Callithrix jacchus: one gene and its partner. The protein of the gene in region 1 interacts with the protein of each later gene in a pairwise test. Links are inferred from orthologs where the notes say so. Each region holds a gene or a part of one and is shown on either strand. Other genes may lie near its edges. The genes, in order: POLI and DNA repair protein REV1.

Region 1 (3,827 bases):
CATCTTAAGACTCTGCATGTGACTCCCTTATCATACCACATACAAGACGAGTTACTCTGCTTTTGTGTAAGATTTGTCCGACCCTTTTGCTCTTAAGCCTCCCCATGCATTTCCTCTTATCCTCTTTTTTGAGAACTAAACATCAGTCTACAAAATAGTTCTCCACAGAAAAAAAGCGGTAGAGCTACAGTTTCTGGACTACGTGGAGCTTTTCATGTATCTTTTGTACTTGTGCTCGTTTATAACTTACAAGGGCTAAGTAGCAAGAATATTTCAAATGTATTCTATATAATTTTTAAAGCAAATTTAGATTTTATAGGTTAGAGTATGTTATAGTTAGGCTTTATATCCCAAAAAGGAAATGTGTAATTATTGATTAATTCTTCCTCTTTCACACAGATTTTATTAAAGTCTTTTTCAAACCTAAAGAAAAGTTGACAGAATTGTACTACAAATACCCATTATGTCCTTTCTTGTAGATAAACCAGTTGTTATCATTTTGCCACATTTCTCTTATTCTCTCTATGGATTGCTTGCCTGGTTGATGAGCTATTTGAAAGTAAATTGCAGACATCCTGACATTTCATCTCTAAATACTTTGAGCATGAGTCTCTTTGAGGTTCACATAGTTTAATGTAATTCCAACACTGTTTTATATCTAAAGCAAATTTATTTTTATATGATTTTTTTACACTTTCATAAAAAAGCTCTAAAACTATGGACAGGTCAGAGATTATTTTCAGCAGCATATACAGCTAGTGTGTGGTCAGGATTTAGATGTTTAGAGCTATAATGTTAGCTTTCTTGTTATATAATAATACTTTTATGCTTACTTACAGGTAAATGTGAGTAAAGTTTTATTCATGTAGGAATTTTTTTTATGAGTTTTTATAATGTGTTAATTATTAAGCACTTCTAGTATACAGTCACTATCACAGGCCCTTGGAATTTGCTTATTAAATTTGTTTACAGTATTCCTGTGAAGCATGAAAGAGATTAGTCAAGTGGATAACAGGGTGGCAGTGGTCTCTTAGTCCATTGAGTGTTGCTTTAACAGAATACCTGAAACTGGGTAATTTATGCAGAAAAAGGGTTTATTTGGTTCATGATTCTCATGGCTGGCTAAGTCAAAATTAGCCCTCTGCATCTGGTGAGGGCCTCGGGCTGTTTTCACTCATGGTGGAAGGCAAAGGGGAGCCAGTGTGTGCAGAGATCATGTGGTGAGAGAGGAAGGAAGGACTGGGGGAGGTGCCAGGCTCTTGTAACAACCAGCTGTCTCTGGAGCTAATACCGTGAGAAACTCACTCACCCCTGAGGGAGGGCATTAATCTGTTCATGAGGGATCCACTCCTGTGATCCCAACACCTCCCATTTGACCCCATTTCCAACATTGGGAATCAAATTACAACATGAGGTTTGGAGGGGACAAACATCGCAGCCATACCAAGTGGTGGTGGTAATGGTAATGGTGGTTGGATATAGACTAAGCCCTCTATCTTTTAAAAATTATTTTGTAAAGAAAAAAAGGTTTTTTTTGTGACTTTTAATGACATTTGTTGTTTTTAAAGCTATAAATCTGCATGACATCTTGCACATCAGACTACTTGTTGGATCTCAGATTGCAGCAGAGATGCGGGAAGCCATGTATAATCGGTTGGGGCTCACTGGCTGTGCTGGAGTGGCTTCTAATAAACTGTTGGCAAAATTGGCTTCTGGTGTCTTTAAACCAAATCAACAAACAGTCTTATTACCTGAAAGTTGTCAACATCTTATTCATAGTTTGAATCACATAAAGGAAATACCTGGTAAGACAAATGTATTTGAAAAGTACATACGTTTTATTGTATTTCTTTAATTGTAAAAATTATAGATACAATGTAATTAATTCTTAGATGGGGTGTATGTGAGTGTGAGTGTGTGTGTGTGTACGTGTGTGTGTACTCAGTTCCTGGAAAAAAAGTAAAAGAACAGTAATGTTTTCTGAAGCAAATTTGGATTAAGAAGTATGTGAAAGTACTTTTCTTATTTTATCTACTTTTGTATGGTTATAATATGATCATAAAAGTTATAGCCTAGAAACATACGGCTCTTTATTTCCAGTCCTTGGGTCATACTCTTATAGTGTTTGTTGCCTCTGGAGAAGGAAGTTGATCTTTTACTAACTCTCTTTTGGTATTACATATAAAATATTAAGGCTACAATAGACTTTCCAAAACATCTAGGCCAAGTTCCTCGTTTTAAAGATGAGGAAACTGATTTCCTTAAGGAATTCAGTGATCTATTTAGGTCATGGGGCAAGTTTCTATCTTTGAAGGTCAAATATCTAAGTTTTTATAGACCATCAATAATGGCTATGTTAAACTACGTTTTTATGGTATTGCTGGGGTTATAAAAGAGTTCTGTGGAAGTGAATTTCTAATACAACTGAAACTTAGATGTCATACTTCACATTTCTAACTGATACTTGTGTGTCCTTGCCTTCCTTAGTATAGTATAACTATAATTTGGAGTTTTTTGGATGACTTTGGTTCTGCATTCTGAAGAACAATGTCAGGTTGTAGTAAATTGAGAACTGTGTACTATTGCAAAACATTTTTATTTGGCTTTACTTTTGGAGTCTGTTTATTTATTTATTTTATTATTTTTTGTAAAACAGGCTTTCTGCTTTCTCATTTATTGCCAATTGCCAACCTTCTTTTATTTCTGCTGTGAAAAATCTGTCACTCTACCTTAGTAATTCCCCCTACACAGCCATCTCTTCCAACTTACTGCTTTTGCTGTGCAAGAAAACCAGATAACTATAGAATTACTATTTTTAAATGAAAAGAATAAGGAGACACTAAGTGGCTTGAGTATTTTCTCTTGTGAATAAAGTATGACTAAATTTTAGTGCAAGAATTTTGTGACAGTTTTGCTAGCAAGATTATTTGTTTGCTTTCTGGCTCATAGTTGTATTCTGGATGGTAAATATTGTTAAGATGTGACTTATGGTTAAATGTGTGGAGCTGTGCATAGCAATCAGTTAGATTACCTAATATGGACACTTAATTAAATTGCTCTAGTGGCAGCCTTTTTGTACATTAATAATAACGATTTCTGAATATTTCGAATATTACATAACAGATTGTAAAAACTTTGTTTTAGTAAGACAGCATTTATTGACTGCCTCTATGTTCATTTTGTTATACTGCATTTTGTGAGGACTTCAAAGAGATGCATATAATTCAGGAGCCTTGAGTGGAAGAACAGCAACCTGGTTTGCAATGGAGTTTGATCTTTGCAAAATACAGTAGTCCCCCATTATCTGCAGTTTCACTTTTCACAATTTCTGTTATCTGCAGTCAACTGAGGTCTGAAAATACTAGGGGATATTTTGAGAGAGGCAGAGACCACATTCATATAACTTGTGTATAGTACATTGTCATAATTGTTTATCTTATTATTAGTTATTGTTAGTCTCATACTGTGCCTAATTTATAATTTAAACTTTATCATAGGTATATATGTAATGGCAAAACAGTACTATATATATAGGGTTCGATACTCTCCATGGTTTCAGGTATCCACTGAACGGGGTAGAATGTATCCCCTGTGGATAAGGTGGGGACTACTGTATAAATTATAGAACTTAAAGACATGATTGATATATTTATAATATTTTACTTAGCTTTATTTTAAGGAGAAAAGCTACTTTAACGTTGTATGCATTTCTTTTTATTTAGGTATTGGCTGTAAAACTACCAAATGTCTTGAAGCTCTGGGTATCAATAGTGTACATGATCTCCAAACCTTTTCATCCAAAATTTTAGAAAAAGAATTAGGAATTT
Region 2 (3,827 bases), on another chromosome or scaffold:
GAGCCACCGCACCTGGCCTTCTTTTTTCTTTTAATCATATCCAGTTTCTCTTTTTCCCCCTTCACTGGCATGATCATCTGTGAGGATGTGATCTACTCAGAGTTGCCTGTCACATTCCATGCAGTGGTTAGCCAGAGCCTGAGCTAACCCAGAAATGGGTGATCATCCAACTTGTGGGACTTTTCTGTGTAGTCAGGTTCTCATTACTAATAAACCAAGTTAGTATTAGGATGAGGGGCTTTAGGTGAAACCTGGTAATACTGTCGCAATTTCACCTGTGCCTTACTACTCTGTAGGGTAGCCCTTCATCTGGAGCCTGCATGGTAATTGAATTAATTCTGTGGACATGTGGACATTTCTAAGTAGAATAAATAACTGTTTGTAATTCAGGTTTTTGTTGTTGTTACTTAAATGATTCTCTTGAAGTCATTACTAAACAAACTTCTAGAGGAGCCAGGATGTGACTTTAGCATAGCATTTGTCATAGGTTCTGCATTTATAAAGCTGTCGTAAAGCAACTTGGTACAAACTGCCTTGTACACCCTGGCATCTAAATATGCTTTTCTTAGCAATGAAGTACAATTTCCCTTGTCAATAAGGCAAGTGTCCTCATTTTTCTAGGTATAAATTTTACTGAATTACCCCACACGTTGACATGACTCTTACTTTTTGTAAACTTGTGCAACAGTTAGCTCCATTAATAGGTTAATTAAGATAGTCAGTTTTTTTCTACCGAAACCACTGGTTTCATACTGGATTTAATGTGTTGAATAGTACCTTTCATAAAAACTAAAACTAGGAACACGAATTTAAGTAAGGTTTTAAAATCCATTTTTATGTAAATTATTTGTAGTATATTCAGCAGATATTTATTGACCTTGTAGTAAATGCCGAGCATTGTGCTTTAGAACTGGATATTTAAAACTTATATATTCCAATTAATTTTTTATGGAAAAAATCATTGAAAAGTTTTTTGGGTTTTTTTTCAGCTGTGAGAAAGATTCTGTTGCATTTCTTCTTTGGGACTATCTGAAGTTAAAATGAAAAAAAAAACAACACCCAAAGGGCTGTTAATATTCTAGAATTTTTCTAATTACCTTGCTACTTTTGAAAATAACTTTTTGTCAAATCAGAATGTAAAGTTTGTGGTTTAATTTTCAGGGTTTTTTTTAATTGTCAATATTCAATATAATAATTCTCAAGTTTTTATTTTTTTGAGATGTAGTCTCGCTCTGTTGTCCAGGCTGGAGTGCAGTGGCGCGATCTCGGCTTACTGCAACCTCTGCCTCCTGGGTTCAGGCGATTCTCCTCCCTCAGCCTTGAGAGTAGCTGGGATTATAGGTGCTATCACCACCATGCCCAGCTAATTTTTTGTATTTTTAGTAGAGACGGAGTTTCATCATTTTGGCCAGGCTGACCTTGTGATTCACTCGCCTCTGCCTCCCAGAGTGCTGGGATTATGGGCCTGAGCCACCATGCCTGGCAATTCTCAGTTTTTAAAGAGGGAAATACCAAAGTATGTGCCACTAAGAAAATGTTGCAACGAAAAGATTATTTTAACCTAAAAGTCAGACATTATTAACTTAAAATTTTTTTCCTGCTTTAGAAATCACATTGTTAAGAAGACTGAGACAGAAAATGAAGTCACAGTCAATGGAGTAAACAGCTGGAATGAAGAAGGTGAAAATACTGATTTTAGTTTTGTGGATCTGGAGCAAATCTCTCCGGGAAGGAAACAGAATGGAATTCCGCACCCCGGCAGCAGCACTACCATTTTTAATGGACACACTCATAGCTCTAATGGTGCCTTAAAGACACAGGATTGCTTGGTGCCCAGGGGCAACAGTGTTGCCAGCAGGCTTTCTCTAGACATTTCCCAGGAGGAGGAGAAGGCTGAGAAGAGCAGCACTGATTTCAGAGACTGCGCTCTGCAGCAGTTGCAGCAAAGCACCGGAAACACAGATGCTTTGCGGAATCCACACAGAACTAATTCTTTCTCATTATCACCTTTGCACAGTAACACTAAAATCAATGGTGCTCACCATTCCACTGTTCAGGGGCCTTCAAGCACAAAAAGCACTTCTTCGGTTTCCACTCTTAGCAAGGCAGCATCTTCAGTGCCATCCAAACCTTCAGACTGCAATTTTATTTCAAATTTCTATTCTCGTTCAAGACTGCATCACATATCAATGTGGAAGTGTGAATTGACTGAGTTTGTCAATACCCTACAAAGGCAAAGTAATGGTATCTTTCCAGGAAGGGAAAAGTTAAAAAAAATGAAAACAGGCAGGTCTGCACTTGTTGTAACTGACACAGGTAGATACTTACTAAAATTGTTTTCTTAAGAAATGCTTGATCATTTTGTTCGCTATTATTGCTATTTCTGGTCAATACGAAGTTCTCATAAAAGTCTCCAAGAACTCAAGTCATATAAGTTACAGTAAGCATAACGTAGAAAGCTTATTTATTCAAATTTTTTTAAACGATTAGATTTAATTGTGGCTGACTGAAAATTTTCAGAGAATTTAAACAGTAAGATGGTTGGGATTCTGAGCATTCATTCCTCACATAGACCTGATCAGTTGAAGTTTTGAACTGTGTCAATATAATATCTATTCAGTGCTTAAACTCTGTAAGAATGAAATTTATTTGATAAGAGCAATTGTTAATTTCTAAAAGCTTGCATCATAATGATTTTTTAATTAATTTTGACAGCTGTTAGAATTACAGTGGTAAACTTTTAGTGAGCTTATTTCATATCTACGTACATTGGTTAATTGTACTTTGTTTTTTAGTACTTTTCTTGTCATCAAAAAACAAATGCACAGCTAGTAGCAGACTGCCAGTCATTATAAATTAGTATCTGGTTTGAAGTTTTAGTTCCTTTTACAGAGTATAGGATTTCTTTTATGGGAGAGATCTCAGATTAATACTATAATTTATAGCTGTGGAAACTGAGATATAGAAAGAAGCTCATGGTTCTGTTCTAGAAAGTGATAGACACTCTGTGGTTTTTTTTCTGTTTTGTTTTACTAAGTTTGACATATTTCTACGTACTTTTAGTCAAAAAATGCTTTTTGGTATTTATGAAACATTTCAGAATAATAGATATTAGATTCCTTATGTCATGTCTTGGCCTTGTTACCTGAAGGTTATTTAATTCTGAATGCTTCAAAGAACTATGATTAATTAGTTCTATAAATGGGAATAAAATGAGAAATTTTGTTATTGTATGAAAGCATTTGGTAGATATTTGGGTTATGAATTCTGTACTATTTGAATGTTTAAAAGCATTATTTTGGGTTGTTTGCATTATGTTTATATGACACTTTGAAAAATACTTTTATACAGCAGAACTGTGATTAAGATTACTTTATGAATCATTTCTTGAGATAATATAGAAGGTGGTAAGGAAGTACCTGGCTTTGGATTTAGGTAATTTAGCCTGAATCTGAATCCTTACTCTGCCACACTTATGCTGCAGGAGTATGGGCAAGTTAGTTTACCTCTATGAGTCTTAGTTTTCTTTGTGAAGAGCAATGATAGATAGTTCAGGATGTTTGCCTCGTGGAGTTGTGAGCATAAGAATACATGAGCAGGCTAGGTTCAGTGGCTTACGACTGTAATTCCCACACTTCGGAAGGCCACGACAGGAGGATCGCTTGAGCCCAGGAGTTCAAGACCAGCCTGGGCAACACAGTGAGACCCTGTCTCTACCAAAAAGAAAATAAATTAGCTGGGCGTGGTGGCAACGTGCCTTGTTCCCAGCTACTTCAGAGGCTGAGGTGGGAGGATTGTTTGAGCCCAGGAGGTTGAGGCTGCAGATC

The links.
Region 2: the proteins of POLI (region 1) and DNA repair protein REV1 interact in a two-hybrid assay, tested with the Homo sapiens proteins (2 studies listed by BioGRID). The link is inferred for Callithrix jacchus from reciprocal best matches to the Homo sapiens genes POLI and REV1.

The regions. Positions count from the first base shown.
Region 1 is NC_133514.1:97,478,350-97,482,176, forward strand, and holds part of POLI (DNA polymerase iota), read left to right. Parts: intron 1-1,568; coding exon 1,569-1,805; intron 1,806-3,722; coding exon 3,723-3,827. UniProt on the Homo sapiens protein: Error-prone DNA polymerase specifically involved in DNA repair. Plays an important role in translesion synthesis, where the normal high-fidelity DNA polymerases cannot proceed and DNA synthesis stalls. Favors Hoogsteen base-pairing in the active site.
Region 2 is NC_133515.1:9,087,416-9,091,242, reverse strand, and holds part of DNA repair protein REV1, read left to right. Parts: intron 1-1,606; coding exon 1,607-2,316; intron 2,317-3,827. UniProt on the Homo sapiens protein: Deoxycytidyl transferase involved in DNA repair. Transfers a dCMP residue from dCTP to the 3'-end of a DNA primer in a template-dependent reaction.